Bombyx mori: one gene and its partners. The main gene of each other region encodes a partner of the protein of the gene in region 2 in a complex. Links are inferred from orthologs where the notes say so. Each region holds a gene or a part of one and is shown on either strand. Other genes may lie near its edges.

Region 1 (3,273 bases), on a different chromosome or scaffold from region 2:
AGACGGGTAAGTTTTAATTACAATACGTTTTAATGATCCATCCCAACGTGTTTGATTACAACTCGAATCAAGGTGATAGTTATCATGAGAATTCAAATCTAACTATAAGACTGCGCGTTGCGGTATCAGCGATAGGGAGTAGGGTTGCCACCTTTTTTTTGCAGATAAAGTACATTGATTATTATAGGTAGGAAAAAAGAATATAGTATTTAAATAAAGTACAGTGTATTTTTAATTATGTATTATTATTTTTAAATACGTATTTTTTATTACAATTGAACAAACTAAGAAAACGAGTGCGTAGGTGATGTACCGTTGGCGAGTGACGACATCGATTGAGCAATCGATGTATTTCGGTTACAAAAAAAAATTCATATGACTAAACTTTTCAAAATCCCTAAGAAACCAAATCATGCCAAATAGAGTACATATTTTCGTGTACCTTATTGTTGACATAAAGTATAGAGTAAAAATACCTAAAATAAAGTACGGGTGGCAACCCTAATAGGGAGCGACTCAGCTGTGTCTCTGGCATTGCTCACCTTCTGCCTGGCCACGTGGTCCGCGAGCATGTCGGAGAGGTCCTCGTGGGTGTTGGGTCGCTGGTCGCGCAGATGGCGCTCGTAGCGCGCCGCCACCGCCTCGGGCTCCAGCTCCAGCTCGGAGGGGTCCAGCGTGACCTCCACGCCGCCCGCCGGGCCGTGACCCGTCGAGGTCGCGCCCGCTCGCTTCACTATGCACCACATAATATTATCACACCCTATTCTTATCCCTATAGTTCGTTCCCGTTAAGAATGCAGTGAGTCACCAGTGCAACTGCGAGTAAAGATGTATTCACAGTGGTGTAAAATTCATACAAATTATATTTTCAAAGATTAAGTTTAATGAATTTAAAAAATACACTTAAAAGTTAAAAATCAAAATGAAATCATTAATATATTAATTATGACAAAAAAAATTGTGATAATTTTATTTAATGTTGGGTTATTTAAATATATAAATTAAATAAATAAATATATTATTTAAATATATCGAGTGTAGTTTTCTTCTTATAGCACATTTAATTTTGTCTAATTCATCGAATTTATCAATCATAGACAATTAACGAATTTATCAACTTGTCACTGCAGTGAACTTGACCTTGTAATTTAAAAAGATTTGCGAACAATGATGACTCACTGGATTCTTAACGCGAACGAACTATAGCTTCAAATTAACTTAAAAATGACCTTACACAAATACAAAATATTATATCATAAGAATGTACTTGTTTAAGCTAAAATTAAAAGTGCCGATACCCCAACTTCAAAATACACGCGGGATGGGATTCGTTATACATATAAGTTATGATTTATCATGACACATAAAGTTGAAAGGCTTAAACCCGCCTAATTCCTAAAACCCCGCAACTAATTCAAGTTTTTTTTTTTAAATCTACATATCGACGCTTGAAAGGCAAACGTGACTAAGCGACAATGCGTGAACTTTACAGTAGACTAATTTAAAGTTGTAATACCTGGAAAAAAAATATTTTAACGAATCTAGCTGTAGTAGAATCTAGCTAGTAGCTGTAAGATTGAAATAATTTTAATAGACCTAGAAATAAATTTTTTTTGCGCATCGAATATGGTAATTACCTATCATTTATGTACAAAGCAATCATTGTCGCTTAGTCATGTTTGCCTTTCAAGCGTCGATATACTGACTAATTCAATCAGAAAGTATACCCGATGTTTCATCGTCAATTTACATTCCTACATAGTATAGTTTTATAACATTGTTCCCTTATGAAATCTCATTAAGTCTATTTAAACCCATCCTAAAATAATAAATACGAAGATGAGTTTGTATGTTTTCTCGTAACAAATACTCAATAGATTATCATGAAATTGTGCAACAGACGTTGACAGGGATGTAGAGCATTACATGATGTATCTTTTTACTAGAAAAATAATATGTCTCTGAGAGTTATAATCTCTATCACATTAACGCGAACAAAATCCTGTTTAAAATATAATTATCAATAACTAGCTGTACCCGTCCGCTTCGCTGGGCATTTTAATTAACATTATTATTTATGGTGGTCATTATTATTAGGGAGTCCAACACTCATATATATATATTAGCCTATCCATTAAGTACATGTATTTTCTACATGGATACCAAGTTTCAAGTCAATCGGATGAATGGTTCAGTAGTTATAACGGAACATCCGTAAAAACCACTGTAGACTTATATATTAGTATAGAAGTATAGATATAGATGAGTGCACTGACCGGGGTTCGTTGCGTTAATGTCGTACACGTGCGTGGACGCCATCATCCCTGACGTCACCCCCACGCGGCGCTCCGGCAGTACTTGGTACAGAGCCGGAGTCTCTCCTCTGAAAAAATAAAAAAAAAAATTATTTAAAACAAATCCAAGATTTTTTTTATTGCTTCACATCTGCAACGTAAATGCACCACCCACCTTGAGATATAAGTTCTAAGGTCTCTGTATAGTTACAACGGCTGCCCCACCCTTCAAACCGAAACGCATTACTGCTTCCCGGCAGAAATAGGCAGGATGGTGGCTACCCGCGCAGACTCACAAGAGCTCCTACCACCACTATTTTTAACGAACCGACTCTATTGTTTGTGGTGTTGATGGATTCCCAAATCTATTCGTGGCGTTCAGATTGGCATTTAGGTTTAATGCTGACGTAGTACCAATGACGTACGACAGGTGGTGCGCGGGTCGTTTCAACAAATAGATTTATTTTAGACATGTGGGCATAGTACAGCAGTAATATTTAAACGTGTCTCAACTGTTGTAACACCTCTTTAAAATTTCTAATTCTTACTTCTTCTTCTTCTTTAGTTTTTAGTTCCGGCACGGTTTGTGCATTAGCCAGCGTCAAGTACTAAGATTTTTATAATTAGTCGTTTTAATTATTTACAGTTTATGAATAATAAAAAACGAAGGAAACTTAATCAATTGGCATGAAATGAAATTAGATGAGATGATATGGGATGAAATATAATCTCAGTAAAATGGTGGTCGTTTACTGAGACTTTTTCAGTGGACTTTTTGGAGGATCCCGAGATACGTTTAGCAGCTTTGTTTCATTTTCCCAGATTAGTGCACTTTTACAGATACTAAACAGTTAATAAACCACCGTTATGACACGTTTAAACCCGAAGAAACACTAAATAGACAAAATAAAGCAAATCACACAACTTCACTCCTCGCATTCCCGCCAAAATTGCGAATTTACTCAAAACGAATTACCCG
Region 2 (3,315 bases):
TGAGTGATGATTTATGTAGTGGGCTATGGCAACTACTTAATACCAAGTAGGCAGTCAGCTTTTTTCTTCATCCAGAGCAATACAAAGTGTGCAGCAATTCGCAAAATGTAGAAGTGTAACCTGTAGGAGTTTTCTATCTCGTTCTCTCACAGACTAGATACTATAAAATAATATGCATCTCTTTTTAGTCACTTCTAGAGCTTTAACTATATTAAAATAAGGTTGTATTATTTACTTTTTAGTTTCAAATCATAACCAGAATGAGAACCAAAGTTTTTTTAAATGAAAATTGTTTTTGCGAATGAGGTTGTGTTTTTAAACGAATTTGGAATCTAATACCCAAAGGCCAAAAAAGAGCAAGAAGGAATGGGGTAAAATACATTGAAGATCATTAGATTTCAATATATTTCCCTGTTTTCACATGCTCATTTTTTGCAAGGACAATATAAATCGCAAACCTTTTCTTGTAAAGTTAGTGTTGAGAAAATAAAACAAGGTTATGGTGAAAATTTACTTATAATTAATTATACAAGTTATGGAATTCATGCTGAAGAGGTTGTTTCAGACATAGTTATTAAAAAAAAAAAAGTATTAAAGTTGTTTCATTTAAACATTGTATACAACAATAGTTCCAATTAACATTTTTCTCCTCAATCATTAGTATTTCGGGATATATACCTAAGGTAATTTTACTGCTAACAGAGTAATATGAAATTTCTATTTTTTTGCTTAAAATTTCCCTTTTGCCTGTTATTCTTAAGATAATTCCTTATTCTAACTTATGTAATAATTACTAATTATTCTTTCATTTCTCCTTCTTCATCTTCTTCATCAGCTCCTCTTACATACAAGACATTATTGCATCTTATTAAAACTTCACCTAAATTACCTGGAAATAAAACCCAATACTTAAATTAATAGGGTTCTTAATTTAGTGTTTTGTATGTATGGACTAACAGAACTAACTGAACTAGTATTCAAAACAAACGCCGTTAAAGCTTTACAGAACTCTGCTGATATGACTTCATTAAGTTTGATGTAGCATGGACTGAATTACAATAAAAAAGATTCTTAAAAAAAAATATAAAAAAAAATATTTAAATGTTAAGATTTGATTTCTAAATTTTATTTACTAATTTAAATTAATTAAATTCACAAAACTATTCACAACCAAAAAGTTTGGTTTGGAATCTTGTAAGTGTCAAGTTGTCTCTTGTTATGAAATTTATTGATTTTGTGCATTCTTTGTAGCAAGTACTTTTTTTTTCTTTAAAAGGGCAAATGAACCCCATGACATTTAGTGTTAAGTGGCTTCTAGAATTTATAAGTTTATTACAATATGAATATTAAATCTACTCTTCAAAGCAGAATGCTTGAAAGCTTTGAAGTCGAAATGGGTGCAGAATAGTGTACTCATAATAGACCAAACAAACAATGAACGTCTCATTTTTAATTCAATTTTGGTCCAGGTCCACTACCAGTAGATCTTAATCTCTTGCTTTAATATGTTTTCGTGATTACTTAAAGTTGTTCACTTAAATACTAACCTGTACAAGTTCCATCGACAAGTTCTTCAGTATTAGCAAGTTGCAAATTCATGTAGCCATCTGTTGATACTAACAAACCTTTGTATTCATGACCCCATTTTAATTTAACTAGCACGGATTTACCCGTTAGACTATTAAGAAATGGTTTGGGATTTATTGGCATAGCAGCCGCCATTTTTGCAGGTTCTAAAAAGTAAATTGGATGTTAATTCATTTTCAAACCACCTTTATTGTTTTCATTGCTTATTTAAGAAACATCAGTACTTACTTTAATATCGGCTAACAAGAAATACAAAATATAACCTCAAAATGTATCGGCTTCGCTTCGAGTTCGACGCTAATTTCTACTCATAGATATTTTTTTATTTTTTATTTATGAAAGCATTGAATTTGCAACACGGCCATCAGCTACTCATAGATAATACACCACCATAGATAAAACACAGGTAGTTTAAAATTTATTATAATTAGTTCTTTCTAGGACTTTTCGGCGGGAACGCGAGGAGTGGTTTGTTTTATTTTGTCTAATTAGTCTTTCTTCAGGTTTAAATGTGTAATAACGGTGGCTTATTAACTGCTTAACTGTAACTGTGAAAGTGCACAAATGTGGGAAAACGAAACAAAGCCACTGAACGTAAGTTCTCGAGATCTTCCAAAAAGTCCACTGAAAAAGTCTCAGTAAATGATCACCATTTTACTGAGATTATACTTCATCCCATATCATCTCATCTCATTTCATTTCATTTCGTTTTCATTTCACTTCATGCCATGTTTCATATTATTCAACTTCATTTCATTTCTATAATTTTCATATAAAAAAGTTACGTAACATAAAATTAAAATAAGACTTGACCTAAAAGTTTTAGTTAGTCCAGGTCATAAAATCCCTTTAAAAAAATGTAGTAAAAAATTAATAATAGTATGTATTTCATCTTATTATTATTGAAGCCCAGTTGAAAAAAAAACTACAGAAAATGGTAATTATTTTCTTTAATTTATATAAACATAAAGTCCTGAGAAGTCAGGTCCAGTGATTTTGTTATATTTCCACAATCTTTTACACTTTCAAATATGTTTAACTAATAGAGAAGGGCTTGTAGCGACTAAAACGACACACCTAAGCTGAAAGTTCTCAACGTATTTGGAGGAATTCGCTATTGATAAAATGTGAAGAGAAGAAAAAATATGTGAAAAGCTTCCATAAAACTATATATTAGCAATAAAAACATTTAGATAAGTTTGTTTAATTAAAGATGGTATGAACGATCTTTGGCCTAACTAAAAACCATCAAATAATTGAAAGTAGAGTCGGTTTTTTTATAAAACTATTTTGGGAATAGAAAACGAGAACTTCAACATTGTGTGTTGAAGTGCTTATGCTGAGAGTAGAGCTATAACACCAAACCATTTTAAAGACAAAATGTACATATTGTTAAAATAAATGTTAAATGGATTCGAATAATTAAATGGGCGAAACACTATTTCAATGGGTTTTTGGCTTAAAAGACCAGAATTCAATCTAACGTGATTAAAAAAGTTCCAATAACGTCAAATAGTCAATGTCAAAGTAGTGTTGCAGAATAGTAAAAATTTGATGTGAATCAGTGTTGAATCAATGAAAATATAGATTTTTACGTTTACGATCTATCTATGAGTTTTGCAATTTTTTACATTAATGCACCTTATATGAAAAACATAACCCTGACATATCTATGTAAAAACAAATAAAACATGTCACAATTTACAGGTTTTAGTGAAGATGACTTGG
Region 3 (4,110 bases), on a different chromosome or scaffold from region 2:
CAATGAGGGACACTCATCAATAAGAGGAGCATAGGCAGGAGCCAATCTGTTAATGAATTGTAGGGCGATGCTCCGTGAGATATTGGGAGAATTTTGAGGGAAGCATCCGCGTCTAAATTTTTTATAATTTTGCCAGACTAGGGAAGACGGGGATGAAGGTGAAAGAGAGGAACAAAATTTTTTCCAACTCTCATACTTTTTTTTCTTGAATGTGCGCTTGGATTTAGCCACTATTCTGTTAAATTCCCGAAGGTTGGAGAGGGTCATATTCTTGATGTAATTAAATTCAGCTTCTTTCCGGGATTTAATAAGGTCTGTGCATTCTCTGTCCCACCAGGGAGGAGAAGATAATTTTCCCAAAGCTGAATTTTTCAAGGGAATACTCAGATCTGCAGCAGCTGAAATGGAATCTGAATACAAACTCAAACAAGCATCCAAATTGTCAAAAGAGATTTGGGGAAAGGAAAGGATTCTTTTATCTAGATTCTGTTGGTAAATGTCCCACCTGGCGTCAGTAATGCGATACTGCAATAAGGGAGTTCTATTTTTGCTGGGGAGAGACCTATTGGAAAAGGTAGAACAAATAGGGTAATGATCACTACCGTATGTTGAATTAAGACGTTTCCAGTCTAGGGAATTTACTAGTGTGGATGAACACAGTGTTAGGTCCACACAGCTTCTGCTTTGACCCGGTCTAGGGAGTCTAGTGGCTGATCCATCGTTAAGGACGTATAACCCTATTTCATCTATTAGCTCTGCCAAATATGTACCTGAAGCGTCACAATGGTCAGATCCCCACAAGAAGTGATGACAATTAAAATCTCCCATAAGAATAATTGGGTTCAATAAAATACATAAATTTCTTAGGAAAGGAATACATATAGGGACAGAAGGAGGGAAATAAATGGAGATAAAATTAATACCAAGGATGTTAACACCAATGGCATTAATCTCGGCTCCATGAGGAGGAAGAGAAAGAGAAGAAGAAGGGAAGACATTGTTGACCAGTATAGCAGCACCACCATACCCGTCATCACGGTCATCACGGTAGGTGCTATAACCTGGGATGTGAAATGGGAGATGTGGCAAGAGCCACGTCTCAGAAATTGCAAAGATTGCGGGATTATATAAATTGATTAAATGGAGAAAGTCATGTTTTTTTGGGAGGGCGCTCCTGGCATTCCACTGCAAGAGATTTAGATCCATTATGGTGGGAAAAAATAGTGTCAATTATGTCATTGGCAACGTGGTCAGGTAGGTTAATTTTAGTTAAAAGAGAAGCTAGTAGTTTAATTAGAGAGAAGATTTCACTAGAGGGAATATCTTCAGAAGGAGAAGAATTTTTACTGAGAGCGCAGCCATTAGTAGAGGGAGAAAAAGAGTAGGAATTAGTAATAGCTCTATGGGTTCTTTGATCATAGCCCGGGACGTGAGGGGCATGACTTTTAGGCTTCTGGAGGATCGTTTTTCTGTAGGAGGAAGAGGAAGTCTGAGGATGGAAACGTAAGGACGAGGGGGCTGAAGGAATAATATGAGTTGTGGGAGGGACTGATGCTGAAACATCAGCAAAGGACTTTGACACAGTAGGGAATGTTTTGGATGCTTCTGCATATGAGATGTTGTTCTGGGCCATAGCAACTTTAATATTTTTTTGTCTCTGGTATTCAGGGCATTGCTTGCTATTAGCACAGTGAGGTCCAGAGCAATAAAAGCAAGTTGGGTCCTCTTTAGTGCAGTTCTCACCAAAGTGTTCATCACCACAGCGGAAACAGCGGGGCTTTGAGCGACATTGAGTTTTTGTATGACCGAATTTACAGCATCCAAAGCATTGTACAGTAGGGAAATAATATATATCTACAGGGAGGGAATTGAAGCAGCAAAAGACACGTTTTGGGAGGGTCTGACCATCAAATGTAAGAACCACAGAGGAAGTAGGTTTCCACTCTGGTACCCCATCAGTAATAACTTTGTGATTAATGCGTCTCACCTTCAGTATTCCGCCACAACCAGATGGTGTCTTAATATTTAAAGCTATCTCTTCTTCTGACCAGTCATTAGGCATACCCTTAATAATACCCATCCTAGTGATATTATAAGTCGGGATTAATGAGGAGTATCCATTTTCTAGCAATTCTTTGTTGGTCAAAAATGAGTTTGCATCCTCTGGAGATTTAAACTGGACAGCAATCCTATTCCGACCTATTTTTTTGACTCCATCAGGAAGAACATTTTTAATATTAAGTTTGATCATCATCTGTCCAAACTTAATGGGGTGGAGGGTAGTTCCCGATTTCGGGTCAGATTCTGTACGAGTAACATGGACCAAAAATGGAGCCACATCCCTCGCAGAATAGCGTTCGCGACTATACTTATTAGGTGCTAACGGTCGTTGTTGTTTGGAAGTAGACGAAGCAAGATCATTATCATTGTTGGTTTCGAGAGCTCGCTTACGATGATGTGCCTCAATTGACTCGAAACTAGTTAATGGTACAGTAAGGACTGGTGAGTATGTAAAATCACCCTGAGGATGTTGTCCCTCATCGTTCCAGGTTAAACTAGGATCTGGGGGACGTCCAGGGGGTCGATCGTCAACCTCCATGATCGGCCCGCATTGACTACGCGAGATTAAATAAATGAAAACTTACCTTATGACTTCACACAAAATTTGACAATCACAACAAGAAAAACAAACACAGATAGATATAGGCAGCAAAAAATATAACCAAAAACACAAACAATTAAAAATTAAAAGGAAAAGTCGTTCGCATGTGCTAACCATCAAACACCGTCTCCTTAGTAAAATTGATTGTTTTATTTTTCACTTTGACTTTGACATGTTTTGTTCACTTATAAAGCAAAGGGAACATAGTCCGTACATGTAGTCAGACTAGTTAGACACGTCTTTTGAGAGTAAAATTAAATAAAACGAACCGAAATAATTAGAAGTAGAACAAAATTATATATAATCTTGTTTTGTGATTTTTATGGGCTTTAGTGGCAACCGCTTAAACTAGATGCTTTACGAGCTCCTGTTCATTTACAGGAATAAAAACATACAATAATTTAATATTTTATGCGAGTATTTTCGATGTATATGTACTCATTCGCGAAACAGCTGCGCGAGCAGATTGGCATCCTTGAGGACGCGCTGTAAAAGCTGTGAATGCCTTGTAGATATCCGTAGATAAAAAAGATAAAGTTTCCGTTAAAATCTTTAAAAGATCCTGTAATTTAGTACAGCATGAAGTAAAACTGAGAAAAGAGGATTTATAATAATATGTAAACCTACTTTTCATACCAGAAAGTGATTGTTTTCTCTACCTATGTTCTTTACATATATTTTTAATGACACGTCCTGTACAAAAATAAAAATACGGTTTATGTGCAATACTTTCTGCTTTGTTTCCTTATAGCAAATATATACAGTTTGTTTTTAGTATCATTTTATTAAGTTATGCTACGTTTTGTTGATCGTATGGCGACGTAAGTATACCAACTGTAAAATTATACTTGCGACTTATCGGTTTCTCATATCGCGCTACGATATTTCGAATGGACGGCTAAGTAAATGTTATGTTCTTCAAAAATGCGCTTACTTTGTGTGGCAAGTAAAGCTACTTGGAATAGCTGGTATTTTATAAATTAGTCGATTAATCACAATTAAAAATAATTGCAATTAGCGGCTGAGAAGAATATAAAGTCATGTGAGTAATTTTTCTAACATTTAATTTTATTAATCACTCATTTTCAGCGTCACAACTCGAAACCTCATTTTAAATGATAAAGTAAGAGCCTTTAGTTCTTCTAAAGTCAAATCTTTGGTTGAAAATTATTTTGATTTAAATTTTCGAATACACGGACCAACTGGCGAAGAGGTTTGTTACATTAAAATTTGTCCTGTTAATGTCTACGTAAAAATATGAATTACATGCAACCAATGCATAAACATTTAAATTATTAATTTCATTTATTTTGTAGTGACCACTTCCAATAAGACGAGTGGCAAGATGATTCGATTTCTTCTCACCAAGACGAACAAAGCACGAAAATAAATATTCTGTTTTCTTTTTTCCTTATTTTGATCTAAACGTATTTTAAATTGATAATAAT
Region 4 (4,292 bases), on a different chromosome or scaffold from region 2:
TAAAATGCCAATTAAATTTTTTTTATTTCCAGACAAGCAAATAATGTACACAAAAGCTTATTTTTGGATAATTTTTTCCTGGTAGTATGTCGTGTTGTTAGTTTGAACGCGGGTACTAGAAGCAAGAACGCAAAGTAGATAGTCAATCGTTTTTACTCGAAGGACGAGGGCAACTGATTTACAATTGACTTCATTTTTCGATTCGGATACTGGTAAACACTTTAGACCAGAGGGGCTGTAAGCTCGTTTACTCATTTTCGCAATAAATAATTAAAAGGAGTTTTTTAAATAGAAACAAATGCAACAAATCATATCTGTGAAAAATACAATTTTACAGTTTCAATTCATTCTTGCTTTATTTATCTTACACTAGAAAAATTTGCTCATATTTTTATAATTAGCCAAAGAGATATTTATAGATTTTAAAAGAAAGCTAGATAATATGTTTAAATGATGTAGTTTTTGGTGAGAACACATGTATGAATGGACAAATAAGTTATAAAGTACTGTACCCCTAACAATATCAATACTAATACAAATAATTAGTGACAATTTTGCATGTTGATTATACTGACTTTTTTATGAGGATTTCTTTACTGTTGACTTAATTTTAACTCAAGTCATTATATTTTTTAACTGCATTCAAATGCAAACTCAAAAACTGAAATGCAAAAAGTTGTGAATTCCGCCAATAAAATATGTTACATTACATATTTCCATAGCTACAATTATGTTGTTTGATTTCTTTTACTAACTACTGCAGAGTACTGCACCACCGAGTCAGTCAAATGGCAAAAGTGTGGTAATATAAAATAAAATAATTAAATTAAATTAAAAGATAAAATAACATCAAAAAATTGAATATACAGTAATGTGTATGTTTTTTATTTAGAGAAAAAAAAAGTTTGCATTTTTTATGTGTGCAGTGTCAGCATTTCCATTTAAACTTTGTAAGGGAAATATATCACTTGCAAATTAATCTAACCCCAACTGCTAAATTGCTACCATATCTTTAAATAGCAACTTCAAAAACTTTAGGGTAAGCTTATTATTAACAAGAAATTTTCTACATTCCAATATAAAAAAAAATTACTGTTTCTGCTTTATTCTAAAAAGCTACTAGACATAAAGACAGAATTTATACACTATGTCTTGTTAGACAATTTTTAGAGTAAAATGTTAAGTAGGCCGATAAGTTCAGACACCTCTTATTATGTGTTCATAGATCTATAGATAGGCTGCACCATGTGACTGAAGCTACACACCTTAGACATAGTTAGATACGGTTGCTTTTTTTATTGTTTAGATGGGTGGACGAGCTCACAGCCCACCTGGTATTAAGCGGTTACTGGAGCCCATAGACATCTACAACGTAAATGCGCCACCCACCTTGAGATATAAGTTCTAAGATCTCAGTAAAGTTACCACGGCTGCCCTAACCCTTCAAACCAAAAGGCATTACTGCTTCACGGCAGAAATAGGCAGGGTGGTGGTACCGACCCGCACGGACTCACAAGAGTCCTACCACCAGTAATGCTTCTCAGCAAAATTCAGTAGGATGTTGTTAACAAGCATATGTGACTGACTCCTGGCATTCTTTTTCATTATTATTTAGTACTAAGAATCAGATATGAAATATAGCTAAACAAATAAAATATGTTTGTTTGTTTGAAGTATGGCAATACCTGATTATTATTAGTATTAAAATTTAGCAACCTACCCTAATGACAAAATTATGCAATAACATGTCAGTCTTCACAAAACCCATGAAACTGACAGAATTACCATATTGATGTTCTTCCCACTGATACAATTTGCTAACAACAGCGATGTTATGTAGTGTTGACTTGAAAAAATCAGTACACAAATATAATAACATTCCTCTTATTATAGATTTTTACCAGGTTGTTATATTGCTTCAATGATTCTAATCATTCATTAGTTTTCTTATCATTTAATCTTACATATATGTTATATACATAACTGAAATATAGAGCAATCAATAATATACCGTCTTTCCATACTGCATATGATATAGGGTATGAATTTTGGCCAACTTAACTAACAGAATCATACCTTTAATTGGTGTCCTATTCATTTGATAAAATATATGAATTACTAGCCATACTCGCCCTCTACGCTGGGCATTTAAAATTAACATTATTATTAGGGAACCCAACACTCATATAAATATTAGCCTATCCATTAAGTACATGTATTTTCTACATGGATACCAAGTTTGAAGTCAATCTGATGCATAGTTCAGTAGTTATAACGGAATATCCGTAAAAACTATTATAGATTTATATATTAGTATAGATTTGAAATAAGTAACTCAAGAGATCAATGGTAAGTATCAGTATGAATATTAATTTTTATACAAAAATCAATAAGGAATGCCAAATATTCATTCACCTTCAATGGATACAAAAATAAACATTTAATTGTATGAAATATTAAAAGTCGGTTATCAATAATGGTAATACGTTGTCCTTTTTTTTTTAGGTTAGTCTAATAATTTATCTTCTTTACATCAATATCCGTACTAATGCCTAGTTTACATCTAACAATAAATACATAGCATTGAATACTAAACTGACCTTTTTCTTTTATCTTCTCCTCGGGAACATGAGTTGGTTTAGGGGGCTGCGCTGGTGGCACCGGGGGCGCAGCAGCAGCGGCAGCCGCGTGCGCTTGAAGCGCCGCTTGTTGTGCCGCTGCCAACTGCTGCTGCGCCATCATCGTGGCCCAGGGGTTGGGCCCCAGCAGATACGGCGGCAGCGACATTGCTGACCGCCTACTACAACGAAGAACTTTATAAGTATCACTAATCAAATGAAAGCTTGTTTAACGGAACGAGGTATTACTATTTGAAATATACTTGTAATTGAGCATTTTTTACTTACCTTTTCGAGTTTAAGGCTTGAAATGTATTGTATCACTTTCAACAAAGTTAATATAACACCACATTTGGAAGAAAAAATTACAAACAACTCTAATACAAATCAATTTGTTTGACGGCCATTTGCAATAGACTGAATCATAGATTATACATTCTGATATTTTTCTAAGGGATTTTATGACCTGGTAATTTAGATTTTTAAGTCATGTCTTATTTTAACATAATATTATATTCTTATTTTTATGATAAATGATAATGTGGAGTGAAATTAAATATAAATAAATATAAAATATAAATATTTTACTTACAATCACACCACGTTAACTGGTCCTGTGATAAGTTCGTAAAGAACTTGTGTTACAGGTACCAGATAACGGAAATAAACGTAAGATTTTTATTATACACATACATATATTTAAGATACATCCATAACCCTGGAAAAGACATTTATATTTATCATACAAATACCTTCTCTTGGCGGAATTCGAACCCGCGAACCCCTTGTGTAGTGACCATGTCACTTACCACTACACCAGAGGGCCGATTAAAATAAAATGAAATGAAGATGATTGATTTGAGACATTAATCAACTTGGATGAAATTAAATGAAATGAGATGAGATGATATAGGATGAAATATAATCTCAGAAAATGGTGGACATTTAATAAGACTTTTTCAGTGGACTTTTTGGAAGATCCCGAGAAGTTACGTTCAGTGGCTTTGTTTCATTTTCACATTTGTGCACTTTCACAGATACTAATTAGTTAATAAGCCACCGTTATTACACATTTAAGCCCGAAGAAACACCAAATAGACAAAATAAAACAAATCACACAACTTCACTCCTCGCCCTCCCGCCAAAAAATCAATGACAATAGACTGAATTTTAAGGCAGTAATACCAATAACTACTAAAAGCTTCCTACCAAAGAGAATTCAAAACACTTTCGTACTAACCAAACTACAAAATCAACCCAAAAACCATTAAGTATACGTACCTACTAATTTTATTTTTACGGTATACTTCTCGATCATAGATTGAAAAATTTAATATTTGTCGAATTAAGCTTATATGTTTTCAACATATTATGAGGAATGTGATTGAAGATGGTGCGCATAGCTATCATAGAGTTGTTGTTTAAATCAAAGATCAACTTTATGCTATAATCTAATTAGACTTAAATTAGAACTAGTTGATAAAGCTAACAGTTTGTAAAACGCTAACTTCAATGCTAAGAAATAATTTATTAATGTAAAAGTAAGTTACAAGTTTCTTAATAAGCGATATCAGTTGGCAGTTTTATTGATATTTTGAGTCTGTATTATTCGGTCTGAGAGTGCTATACGTAATAGTATCTTATGTATTAAAATAATCCATGGAAACCATCAAC
Region 5 (4,018 bases), on a different chromosome or scaffold from region 2:
GTAATAATGATAAACATTGAGCAACAATGAATGCCATAATTTGTCACAAATAGGAAACAAGTAAAATTTTTGTTGAAATGTTTGGTTTGCATAAGGAATATATGTGATTTAAACAGAAAATGTTTTCTTTCATTAAGGTACCAATTTGGATATTCATACCTATCATTGTTCATAACATTGACATCAACACTGAAATACTAATAAGGAAATACAAACCGAACCTGTAAAAATGATAATTTTTGTAATTATTGGTGTTAAGGCATCTTGTTAGCCCACATAGGTAGTTCCTACAACCTTATTTCTGCTGTAAAGCAGTAATGTGTTTTAATTTGAAGGATCAGGCAGCCATTGCTCTATAGCACTAACATTTAGACCTCATGTTTCAAGTATGACATAATTTATGTTGTTCATGCCTATGGGCCTCATAACCACTTCACACTAGTTGGACTGTGAGCACATCTATCTAAGTAACTAATAATAGTTTCATTTTAAAACATTTGTCCTTAATAGTAAGAGTTTATTTTTGTAGTACGTGCATATATTTCTTAGCTAGTTTAAAAGTTCAAAAGATTAATTTGGTACATATTTTATAATAGTGCGTTTAAGTGTGTGTAAACTAAGATTGACAGTTATGTAAATAAAACAAAATTAAAACTTATTAACTATTGGATATATTTGAGAAGTAAAAGTTGTACAGACAAATTTTGAGATAATGAATTTCACTTCTTTCCTTTCTTGGCTGCTGGTTTGTCATCACCGTTCTTAGGAACCTGCCAGTTCAGAGGATTGCGTCGGTACATTGGCCATGGAGGAACAGTAAGAATGGCAGCAAGCAGAAATCCAGCACCAAGAATATACACTGACTGCGAGAATTGCTGAACTATATAACCCCATACAAAACCAACTATACTGAACAATGTAATTATTGCCCTGTATAATTTCTCTGCTTTTGCTTGTCCGACGTAATCTATGTGGGTTGGTATAGATGTAAAGAAATCCATCTTGCTAAATTAGATTAATATCACTTGCCACAACAACAAATTATTTTGAAGAAACTTATCAGAAGTAACCAATTAAACGGTCTGACATTAAACGTCAAGCAATAGACACGTCAATACTAAATTGACGTCGTCATAAAAGATATTACCAGTATTATAAAACTGATTTCTAAACGTTTCTTTTTATTAGCCAATATTTTTTTTGTTCTTCCTAAATTTTATTTTATCAAAAAACTTTTAGCCATATCTTAAAATTTAGATGGCTTGCAACAAAGCTATGTTGATAGTAGTTTTAAGATATTTTCTAGTAATACTGCTTTTTCCTTTCCGTCAGTCGATTGTCAACATTCAGTACGATCAGACTCATTAGGTTAATTTTAGTTTTACAAAAAGATAATTTAGTTTTATTTTTCCAAAGTACAACAATCAAAATTAATTTAACAAAATGACAACGCTTAAACAAGTTCCTCTTACATGCGGTGGCCACACGAGACCAGTCGTGCATTTGGATTTTAGTGACGTTACAAAAGACGGATATTATTTGATTTCTGCCTGCAAAGGTAAGTTTTTATTGTTTATTCGTTTGGGGTGCTTTTGCCTTAGTCGTGACATATATAGGAAACATAATTTTTTCTAATATTAGTGGGGTGTGTTTCACGTTGACAAATGTCGGGCGTCGTGCTACGTTTATGAGACCTTCACTTTAGTTGTTTTGTTCTGAACAGTAGGTTTGGCCGGCGTGCATTCTATGCATGTTGCGACCTTCTCTTTCCGGACATGCAGGAAGCACCTTGAATATCCACTTGTGTGTTTCCTCGGCGCCAGTTTGCCTTGGGCCGCGTCGTGCTTTTTATTCATGTACTAGAGGCTAGTGCATGACATACAAGTTTTTCAACTTTGAATGCATACAAATTTGGAGCGAGCTCGGAAGTTTATTCCTGTATTAAATTAAATGTTGACATTTCACTTATTCTGGGTCACCTTGTACCAGCTCAAGGTTTGTTGTACTTGACATTATTAATAATGATATGGGAGTTCTGACAACATAATACTCTAACACAATGACTTATCTGTAAATTTTATTATAATGAAAATCAGAAATAAATGATAATTATTATAATTTTCACTTCCTTGTATTGCTAATGTGAAATTAATTATATTCAAGTCTTGGCTTACATGTTTTGTTTGTATGATATCCTTGGTTTTAGCTGTTACCTGTTTTGGTTCTGATTTAATAGTTCCATTAATCTCTGATGAATTAATCTTTTTTTTATATGTAAATAAGTATAAAAATCAGGAAATAGCATACTTGAATGTTGTTATTATGTAGTGTAGTATTGTTTATTTATTTCCTTGTATAATTAATAGTTGTTATCATGTTTTGTGTTCTTTTATACAAAATCAGAATTTTAAAATAATATCAACAGAAACTTATTATGAGTTATAATCTGGACACTGAAAATAATTTAGTAGTTGTAAAAAAGCAATAACCAGATATTTTTAAACATAACAAAACTAAAATGTAATAGCAACTAGTTAATTTACAAAGAGCTTTAAACAATGTATGAGCTATGATTGTCTTTTACTATCATTATATACTATCTCATGTATCAACATAGTTTATGTATGAATGCTTAATTTGTCTAATTATTTACATAAATGAGCTATCTTCACTGTTAACAAGGTTGTTTATTCCTCATATTTTATTAATATGATTTCTGGTTTTGCTTTTATTCAGATTATAATGTAATGGCATGTTTTGTTATTAAGATGGCAAGCCTATGTTACGACAAGGTGAAACTGGTGACTGGATTGGAACATTTGAAGGTCACAAGGGTGCTGTTTGGGGTGTGGCACTTACACAAAATGCAAACTTGGCTGCTAGTGGGGCAGCCGATTTTACAGGTAAATATTAAACAAGTAAGTTAAACTGCTTTTATTGAAATGTAAATCTGAAACTGTACACTTCAAATAAGCTACTAATTAGATTAAGGATATCACACTGTGAGTGATTATTTTGTACTTTAATCTCATAGGTTTGAATTTTTTGTTTTATTAATATGATCTAAAGTTATAATATTTTTGTCATTTACACAAAATACCATGGTCTACTTTAGCCACTGACTTACTAAAATAGTAATGAAAGAAGCCAAAAATATTAAATGTTTAAGCTCTGAGTATTTTCTTAGATATGTACTTAAAGTGCTTTGTGAAGCTAAAATGCTGAACAAAATACATATTTTTTGAAATAAATATAATAATATAAAAAAGTTTTTTCATATTAAATTTCCATTCCACTCTGTGATATGTGACCGATTTCACGATTTGAAATAACTAAAAATATGCCTAACCTATTTCGAGTGTGTAGATTTTGAGTTAATGATAATTTTTGGTCACAAAACCCAAAATAGTAAATTTAGTAAAAAGTGATTAAAATAACTATTACAAATTACTTAAAATCAAATTTTATATTTACAGCAAAATTGTGGGATGCTCGATATGGTGATATGGTCCACACTTTTGAACATGAACACATTGTGAAAAGTGTCAATTTCAATGCCGATGACACATTGTTGGTGACTGCTAGCAATGAGAAACTTATACGAGTTTTTGACCTCAACAAGCTTGAAGCTGGACGTATGTAATTGTTGCTTAATTTGGTTTATGTTACTGTTTAGACTAGTTTTTGAATGAATTAAGACCACTATAGTAACTATGAACTAAAATTTCTTTATATAATCTTATTATTGCTTTATTGTTACGTAGTTACTGGAGACCATAGATATGACAAACTGAATACAGCAAAAAAGGCTGGTATATATTATCAAAGCCTACAATATGTGGTCTGAATTTTAATATTAATCTCATAGAAAAATTATGTTGATTTCTTTTGTTAACTGATGACAGTCAAAATATTTTTGACAATTGTGGATCACTCCTTTTATTAGCAATAGTGGTCCGATCAAAATCCTGCTTACTTGCCTAGCATAAATGTTCTTGGTGGGCGGGTGGTTAATTAA
Region 6 (4,178 bases), on a different chromosome or scaffold from region 2:
CTGTTGGTTGGAAAAATTTCCAATAATACTTTCCTAGAGATGGTTTCAGGAAATGCTCAAACTATGTTACTGCTTATTTCTCAATTAATATTATTTAATGTTAAGTTATCGATCCATTTAGATGACTGGTTATATGATACAAAATTGAAATCTGTGCAGAAATAATTATGGTACCATAATATTTGTTCATTCAACTAAACAGGCGCCTTTTCCAACAATGACATCAATGGTCACATTTAAATTATTCTACACAGACATATTATTTACAGTCAAAAACTTTTAAAATAAATAAAGATTCAGAGATTTTTAACAGACTTCACAGAACTTGTTAGATGTTTTAAATTATTTCTCTAATCAGCCTATTATGTGTTTACATATCTAAGTGTTTAGTAATCAAGGACTTCAACAATAATATCTATTGTGTTCTCATTCACCATGTCAAATAATTAACTGATCACCTTGTCAGCGCTGTGTCCTTGTCTGGCAATCGCAGAATATTTGACTCTCCCAGACTCATCCAGCTGGACAGCAAGAGCGTTTGAAGTACTCTCCTTGCCTCGCATTCCCATACCAAGCGGGTACTGTGCCACATGGATCTCTGGGAATGCTCCGCCATCTAAAACATACAAGCTTTGAAGCAATACTGCGTATATAATTAATTTTAGGTGTAATTTGAAAGTACAGTAAGACCCTGACATAATGCTGACTCGTTCAGTGGGATTTCAGTTTAACTCTCTTTTATTTGAATTGTAAGATTTGCCTGAAGAAGACCTGAAATTGCACACGGCACTAGGCTTCCCGATATCAGAATAAATTATTCTGTGTTTTTCCTATCCTGCAGTGTTATCCAACATATTTTTATCATTTCAAACATTTGTTGGTGTTATTGTAAGTACAAATTTATATGATACAATGATTGATAAAGTGACAAATATTTTTATTTTAAGTTTTTATCATGGGTGTTAACAAAAACACAAAAATAAAGCAACAAGAAAAACTATTTCCCTAGAAACTAGATGCAAGCTAATAGAAGATTAGATACTGGTGAATGTCAATCTGAAATTGGTGCTGCATTAAATTTGGCAACGACAACAATAAGGAATCTGGCAATTTTTCCAATGAACGTACTTAGCAAATGTTCACAAGTGATTTCCACTGTGAAGGAATAACATCACATAATAATAATCAAATCCACAAAATTATAATGCGTAATTACTGGTGGTATTACGTATTGTGAGTCTGCACGGGGATGTATCACCACCCTGCCTATTTACACTATAAAGCATTAATGAGTTTCAGTTTGAAAGGTGGGGCAGCCGTAGTTAAAGATGAGACCTTAGAACACAAATCTGAGGGTGGGTGGTGGCATTTACGATGTAGATGTCTATAGGCTCCAGTAACCACTTAACATCACGTGGGCTGTTAGCACATCCAACCACCTGGCAAAATAAAGGCAGAAAATTGGCAATACAGAAGAAACTGTATGAACTGAAATACAACATAAACATACAGACTATATTCATTTATTGTTTCTATATTTGTAAGAAATAGATTATTGTTTTATAGGAGAAAGATAGACAGAAAATTGGTGAGGTATTTAATGTTATATACCTCACCAATTTTCTATCTAACCTAACCCCATTATTTACATTATGAGATTATGTTTAATGCTGTTTCATATTAAACTCTACTTTGATGGAATGTATATTATCACTCATTAAGCAAGTTCTTACTGTAAATATATTATTACAATTTACATTTATTTCATTACACAAGCTTGTATACACCTGTATCCCAAGCCATCACAATAGTTACTAAGCTATGTATTTTATTATTAAGATTATATTATTAGGCTATGTAGTTTTATGTCACAAAAACCACTTTAATTATAATAACCTGGTTTTTTATGTAAGAATGACATTCAGAATTACTGAAAGATCTAGTTCGGTATCCAGATTCCAACACCCTGCGGCATACCGTCTCTCAATTCACATGAAAGCCACAGCTACTGATTAATATCTGGTTAAGCACAGGTCAGAGGTAAACATGCTATTGTATGCATAGAATCAATGATGACACTCTTTTTCTGACTTCAAATAAAAAACCTAGTTTTTGACTTGATTCTCACTTCGGGGGTTATTCCCGTCTCTCAATTCATATGAAAGCCACAACTACTGATTAATATCTGGATAAGCACACGTCAGAAGTAAACATGCTATTGTATGAATAGAATCGATGATGATACTCTTTTTCCGACTTCAAATAAAAACCTACTTTTTGACTTGATTCTCACTTCGGGGGTTATTCACTTTTTTATCTACAAAATTTAACAGACCTGCAAAATCTTCGTCTCTTCGAGGTACCCATCCTTTCCTCTCACCGTAAGGTGGCACACTGGTCTGGGACACTACAAGAGCACTCCCGACACGTTTAGCCTTCAACTCATCATCTCTATCCCACACTTGCTGACTAGGGGCAGGCAACAAGCTAAAAATGAAACGTGAACCACGGTCAGTTTGTCAATACGTAAACGTATGAAATTATTTATTTACAATAGTTAATTTAACTAGTAGCTTTAATCAGTTATTATTTAATTTCGGCGTTTATTGTATATTCAATTTCAAGTATTTAAGTTGATTGTTTTCATTTAAAACACACCTCGACAACGACGCCATTTTTATGTCTGAATCTGAAATACCGTAGACATTTCACTAATTTGACATTGTTCATTTATTTTGACATTTGATTTATTTCTCTGTACGATTCGTCCAATGGATAGTAAAGAGAACTATCCTTCAATCTGATCTTTTGTTATAAAGTCGTATGTCTGAAAAATGGAATGGAATTGTTTTTATGTAATCTAATTTTGTGATAAAATGAATGAAAGACAATTTGAGTTTGATTTTTTCTTCCGCAGAGATTGTAAACTAATGCTGAGGGGGTCTTTTCAAATAACACAAGACGTATTATGTAAATCAAGGTACACTGTCAGCAAGGTAGACATCCGAACCAACTTTTGTTATTTAATTTCGCCTATACATTAAATAGTACCATTGTTGTTGATCATTGAACGGTTTTTTTGTTATCAATCCTGAAGGAATTCGCAATAAAAATTCATAGTTCTCGATGCTGTTTTTAAAATGATATTTCTGAACGATTTTTTTAACTTGACTGAAACAAAATTATTCACAATCACAAGTCATCATTCTTTTCGAAATATATGTTTTCGGACTGTCTTTAGAGTTTAAAATGAAAAAAATATTATCATTATCGCCATAGCAATGAATTTTAATGTTCAAAATTTCAATGTTTCAAAATGGTCACAAAAAGAGGTGGAGACGAACTGTCAAATTCGTATATAAATGAAGTAGGCTGCGAACGTCTCCCTTTTATAACCTCAAAAATGCGCGAGAAGTAATAGTTCTATAGACAAATTTAACTATTTTTCCTGTTTAATTGGTGTTATAGTGAACGTACATACAAAATGCCGTTGAAGAAGAGAAAATACAATGCTAGATTTCCACCAGTAAGTTCAAAAGTTCTTAAAAAATGTTCAAAAACCTTAAAATATGTGTTGTTTTCATGTATAAAAGTCTGAGATTAGTGAAATCATGACATTGTTTGTTTGTAGGGACGTATCAAGAAGATAATGCAGACGGATGAGGAGGTGGGGAAAGTAGCACAGGCAGTCCCCATCATAATTTATATCCTTTTCAATTATAATTTTATAAAATATCTATAATTTCATAGCAGTCTGTCTTTAAGTCAACACAGACTGTACAACATTTTCTTTACTATTTTAACAAAACGTATTTGTTCTATGCAATTCTTTTGGGCCAATTAATGAGCAAACAAATGTGCTATTAGTACAAATAGGGACTAAGCCATGAAAATGTTTATGTAATGATTATTTATTATGTTTTATAGTCTGGGTGCTCTTTAGATTATATCATGGAAGATAAAGTTTTTTTTTTCTAATGACACATAACTATTGTGTATATGTATGTGGAAATTGTGTGTATTACTGCTTAAATTAAGCAGCCTGCAGTTGGAAGATAATCACTTAAATGCAATTGCATTGGATTTTGAGGGGCTTGATGTGAAATTTACTTAATAAATCATCTTGAATTATTCTATTATGAAAGTGAATAAAAGATCCCTGAACTCTTAAGACACTA
Region 7 (2,260 bases), on a different chromosome or scaffold from region 2:
ATTATGCTTATTCTAAAACGGTTATTTATATGCCAGTTACTAGAGCACAAACACATTAAAAAAATTGTGTTGGTAACAGGCTAACTGAGCTGATTGTGATGAGACCCATTAGCAAATGAGAAATAAGGTTCTTTTAGTACCTATGAATATTTTTGATTCCTGTGAATATATTATACAGGGATTTAATGTATTTGAACCTTCATGTGTATTTTGTGAAAGAGTAAAACATATAACCCTTAATTTGGTAGTTTACAATAGGCATCATAAGTAACTTCCTAAGGATTATGTTCAAAGAAATGAACATATATCCAGGGTGTTGTCTATTCTAACAGGTATTACAGGGCATGCTATCACAAATCCTATTCAGAGAATGGAAAACCCAAGCCAGGGCTAAGATTAATTTTTATGGGTGAAAATATGTATTCTGCTTTGCGAATTAGTAAATCAAGACAAGAGACGAATACAAAATATGATATTTATTTGCCCAAATGAAACACCGATTGATAACAAAACATTTATTAACTAGTTCTAATGTACCATTGGTCCAAGTGGTTCTGCCTTGATGTTTCCGAGGTCTAATCTGCTATCAATTGACTCGTCTATTTGCCCGACTATTGCCACATTGTCTCCTCTGATTATGTGAAGTCCAAGTACTACTTGAGCGACGCCACTTGTGGAGGAAAACACTCTTTCGTGAGATTCGTCTAAAATAATATTTATTGTTTGGTCAAAGCCCTTAAGGGTGCCAATAAAATTACGTCCATCCGAAGTTATTACCGACACTGTTTGATTCACGTAATTTTCGAGTCCAGAAGCCATTCTAATTATTTTATTTATAAATTCAAATTAGTAATAATCAACATCAAACAACTATAAGAAATTTTCAAATTTCAGGGAGCTGCCACAGATTATTATTTGAAATGTGTACCTACACAGATTAGTATAATAGCTACTACAATTACTATTACTACCTACATGATTACTACATAATAAATAATAGTTTAAAAAAATAAAAAACACGCTTTATCTAAAATTCAACTAAAAAAATAGAAAATAAATTTTAATAAATTTAAATTGAATATAGTGTAAAATATATTTTATTGTAAAAAAAGCATGGGGTGCATGGTGTTATTAGTTATAAATATTTTTCTGACAGATATGAGTAGAAGAATTATTATTTCAATAATATCTTAAAAAGCACCCCACTCTTTTTTTTAAATAAAATATATTTTACACTATTTTCAATTTAAATTTATTAAAATTTATTTTAATTTTTTAGTTGAATTTTATATAAAGTGTCTTTTTTAGTTTTTTAAACTATTATGTATTTTAAATTTTCTTTAAAAGCGTATTTTTAAAACTATTAAGTACATTAACATCAATTCCTGCCTTATCGAGTATAGATAAAAATTATATAAATTGACCAAAATCTTATTTTATAAATTGAATAATGGAATAATCTTATCAAATTAGTATTTTTTTATCGGTCCTCGATAAATCTACAAAGTTTGAATGAATTCTGGCCGTTTAAAGTGGGTCAAAATCGCGTCTAAAGGAGTCAGTTGCAAACATACATACAAGTGAAGTTAATATAAAGCGTGTAAATTGGGTAGAAAAGATCTGACGGATCATATATTCACAAATTATTATGATACACCAGCAGCCAGGGAACCGGGGTAAATTACCTAAAATGAAATTTTGGGGCGTAAAAATGAAACTTTTGTGAGTAAAAAGTATATATTGAAGTGAAGCTTCTTTAGAATCGTTGTGATTTCAAATTCGATGAAACGAAATTAAACGAAACGAAAAATAAGTCCATAGAGACACAAACACATAAATATATAGGATTCAGCCGGCGAGAGAATGAGATAGAACACATTATTTGGAAACACAAAGTTCACGTGATTGACCCAGGTATTTTATTGTAGGCATCGTGTGAATTATAAAATAACAAGAAATTATCAATTACTTATATTCTCTGTGGGGGTGATTTTTTTTCCTCAACTGTATATTACAGATATTACTATTATTACCGTTATGTATTACTATGTATTACATTGATAAATTGAATAAATGATGCTTAAATTAAATTTTTAGTTTTTTCTTTTGAAAATTATCATCGGGGCTATAATATGAAAGATACTAAAAAGAAGCGATTTCATATTTTTTTTGTTCTTCGCCATGGGGTAATTACCCAACCAACCAACTTAAAAAAATATATTTTGGGGTAATAATTAAAAAAGTTCCCCGACCGCTGTGA

What was found.
Region 1: small nuclear ribonucleoprotein protein F (region 2) and splicing factor 3B subunit 2 share a complex: the UniProt entries of both Homo sapiens proteins name them as parts of the minor spliceosome. The link is inferred for Bombyx mori from reciprocal best matches to the Homo sapiens genes SNRPF and SF3B2.
Region 3: small nuclear ribonucleoprotein protein F (region 2) and pre-mRNA-splicing factor ATP-dependent RNA helicase DHX16 share a complex: the UniProt entries of both Homo sapiens proteins name them as parts of the minor spliceosome. The link is inferred for Bombyx mori from reciprocal best matches to the Homo sapiens genes SNRPF and DHX16.
Region 4: small nuclear ribonucleoprotein protein F (region 2) and pre-mRNA-processing-splicing factor 8 share a complex: the UniProt entries of both Homo sapiens proteins name them as parts of the U4/U6-U5 tri-snRNP complex. The link is inferred for Bombyx mori from reciprocal best matches to the Homo sapiens genes SNRPF and PRPF8.
Region 5: small nuclear ribonucleoprotein protein F (region 2) and serine-threonine kinase receptor-associated protein share a complex: the UniProt entries of both Homo sapiens proteins name them as parts of the SMN-Sm complex. The link is inferred for Bombyx mori from reciprocal best matches to the Homo sapiens genes SNRPF and STRAP.
Region 6: small nuclear ribonucleoprotein protein F (region 2) and puff-specific protein Bx42 share a complex: the UniProt entries of both Homo sapiens proteins name them as parts of the minor spliceosome. The link is inferred for Bombyx mori from reciprocal best matches to the Homo sapiens genes SNRPF and SNW1.
Region 7: small nuclear ribonucleoprotein protein F (region 2) and U6 snRNA-associated Sm-like protein LSm8 share a complex: the UniProt entries of both Homo sapiens proteins name them as parts of the U4/U6-U5 tri-snRNP complex. The link is inferred for Bombyx mori from reciprocal best matches to the Homo sapiens genes SNRPF and LSM8.

Annotation. Positions count from the first base shown.
Region 1 is NC_085131.1:3,913,443-3,916,715, reverse strand, and holds part of splicing factor 3B subunit 2, read right to left. Parts: coding exon 3,271-3,273; intron 2,384-3,270; coding exon 2,277-2,383; intron 734-2,276; coding exon 543-733; intron 1-542. UniProt on the Homo sapiens protein: Component of the 17S U2 SnRNP complex of the spliceosome, a large ribonucleoprotein complex that removes introns from transcribed pre-mRNAs.
Region 2 is NC_085117.1:15,790,703-15,794,017, reverse strand, and holds small nuclear ribonucleoprotein protein F, read right to left. Parts: upstream 1,894-3,315; 5' UTR 1,816-1,893; intron 1,734-1,815; 5' UTR 1,723-1,733; coding exon 1,548-1,722; intron 890-1,547; coding exon 798-889; 3' UTR 501-797; downstream 1-500. Other genes in the region: RAB6-interacting golgin, read left to right, coding at 3,279-3,315. UniProt on the Homo sapiens protein: Plays a role in pre-mRNA splicing as a core component of the spliceosomal U1, U2, U4 and U5 small nuclear ribonucleoproteins (snRNPs), the building blocks of the spliceosome.
Region 3 is NC_085110.1:11,489,415-11,493,524, forward strand, and holds the start of pre-mRNA-splicing factor ATP-dependent RNA helicase DHX16, read right to left. Parts: upstream 2,801-4,110; 5' UTR 2,646-2,800; intron 1-2,645. Other genes in the region: WW domain-containing oxidoreductase, read left to right, coding at 3,455-3,483, 3,752-3,875. UniProt on the Homo sapiens protein: Required for pre-mRNA splicing as a component of the spliceosome. Contributes to pre-mRNA splicing after spliceosome formation and prior to the first transesterification reaction.
Region 4 is NC_085114.1:12,588,053-12,592,344, reverse strand, and holds the start of pre-mRNA-processing-splicing factor 8, read right to left. Parts: upstream 2,801-4,292; 5' UTR 2,788-2,800; coding exon 2,601-2,787; intron 1-2,600. UniProt on the Homo sapiens protein: Plays a role in pre-mRNA splicing as core component of precatalytic, catalytic and postcatalytic spliceosomal complexes, both of the predominant U2-type spliceosome and the minor U12-type spliceosome.
Region 5 is NC_085123.1:9,320,351-9,324,368, forward strand, and holds the start of serine-threonine kinase receptor-associated protein, read left to right. Parts: upstream 1-1,218; 5' UTR 1,219-1,443; coding exon 1,444-1,558; intron 1,559-1,728; exon of another isoform or gene 1,729-1,995; intron 1,996-2,736; exon of another isoform or gene 2,737-2,768; coding exon 2,769-2,903; intron 2,904-3,476; coding exon 3,477-3,635; intron 3,636-4,018. Other genes in the region: signal peptidase complex subunit 1, read right to left, coding at 720-1,001. UniProt on the Homo sapiens protein: The SMN complex catalyzes the assembly of small nuclear ribonucleoproteins (snRNPs), the building blocks of the spliceosome, and thereby plays an important role in the splicing of cellular pre-mRNAs.
Region 6 is NC_085130.1:3,027,623-3,031,800, reverse strand, and holds the start of puff-specific protein Bx42, read right to left. Parts: upstream 2,801-4,178; 5' UTR 2,676-2,800; coding exon 2,659-2,675; intron 2,488-2,658; coding exon 2,336-2,487; intron 617-2,335; coding exon 459-616; intron 1-458. Other genes in the region: uncharacterized protein LOC101746654, read left to right, coding at 3,485-3,526, 3,632-3,704. UniProt on the Homo sapiens protein: Involved in pre-mRNA splicing as component of the spliceosome. As a component of the minor spliceosome, involved in the splicing of U12-type introns in pre-mRNAs.
Region 7 is NC_085112.1:10,370,835-10,373,094, reverse strand, and holds U6 snRNA-associated Sm-like protein LSm8, read right to left. Parts: upstream 929-2,260; 5' UTR 820-928; coding exon 529-819; 3' UTR 501-528; downstream 1-500. UniProt on the Homo sapiens protein: Plays a role in pre-mRNA splicing as component of the U4/U6-U5 tri-snRNP complex that is involved in spliceosome assembly, and as component of the precatalytic spliceosome (spliceosome B complex).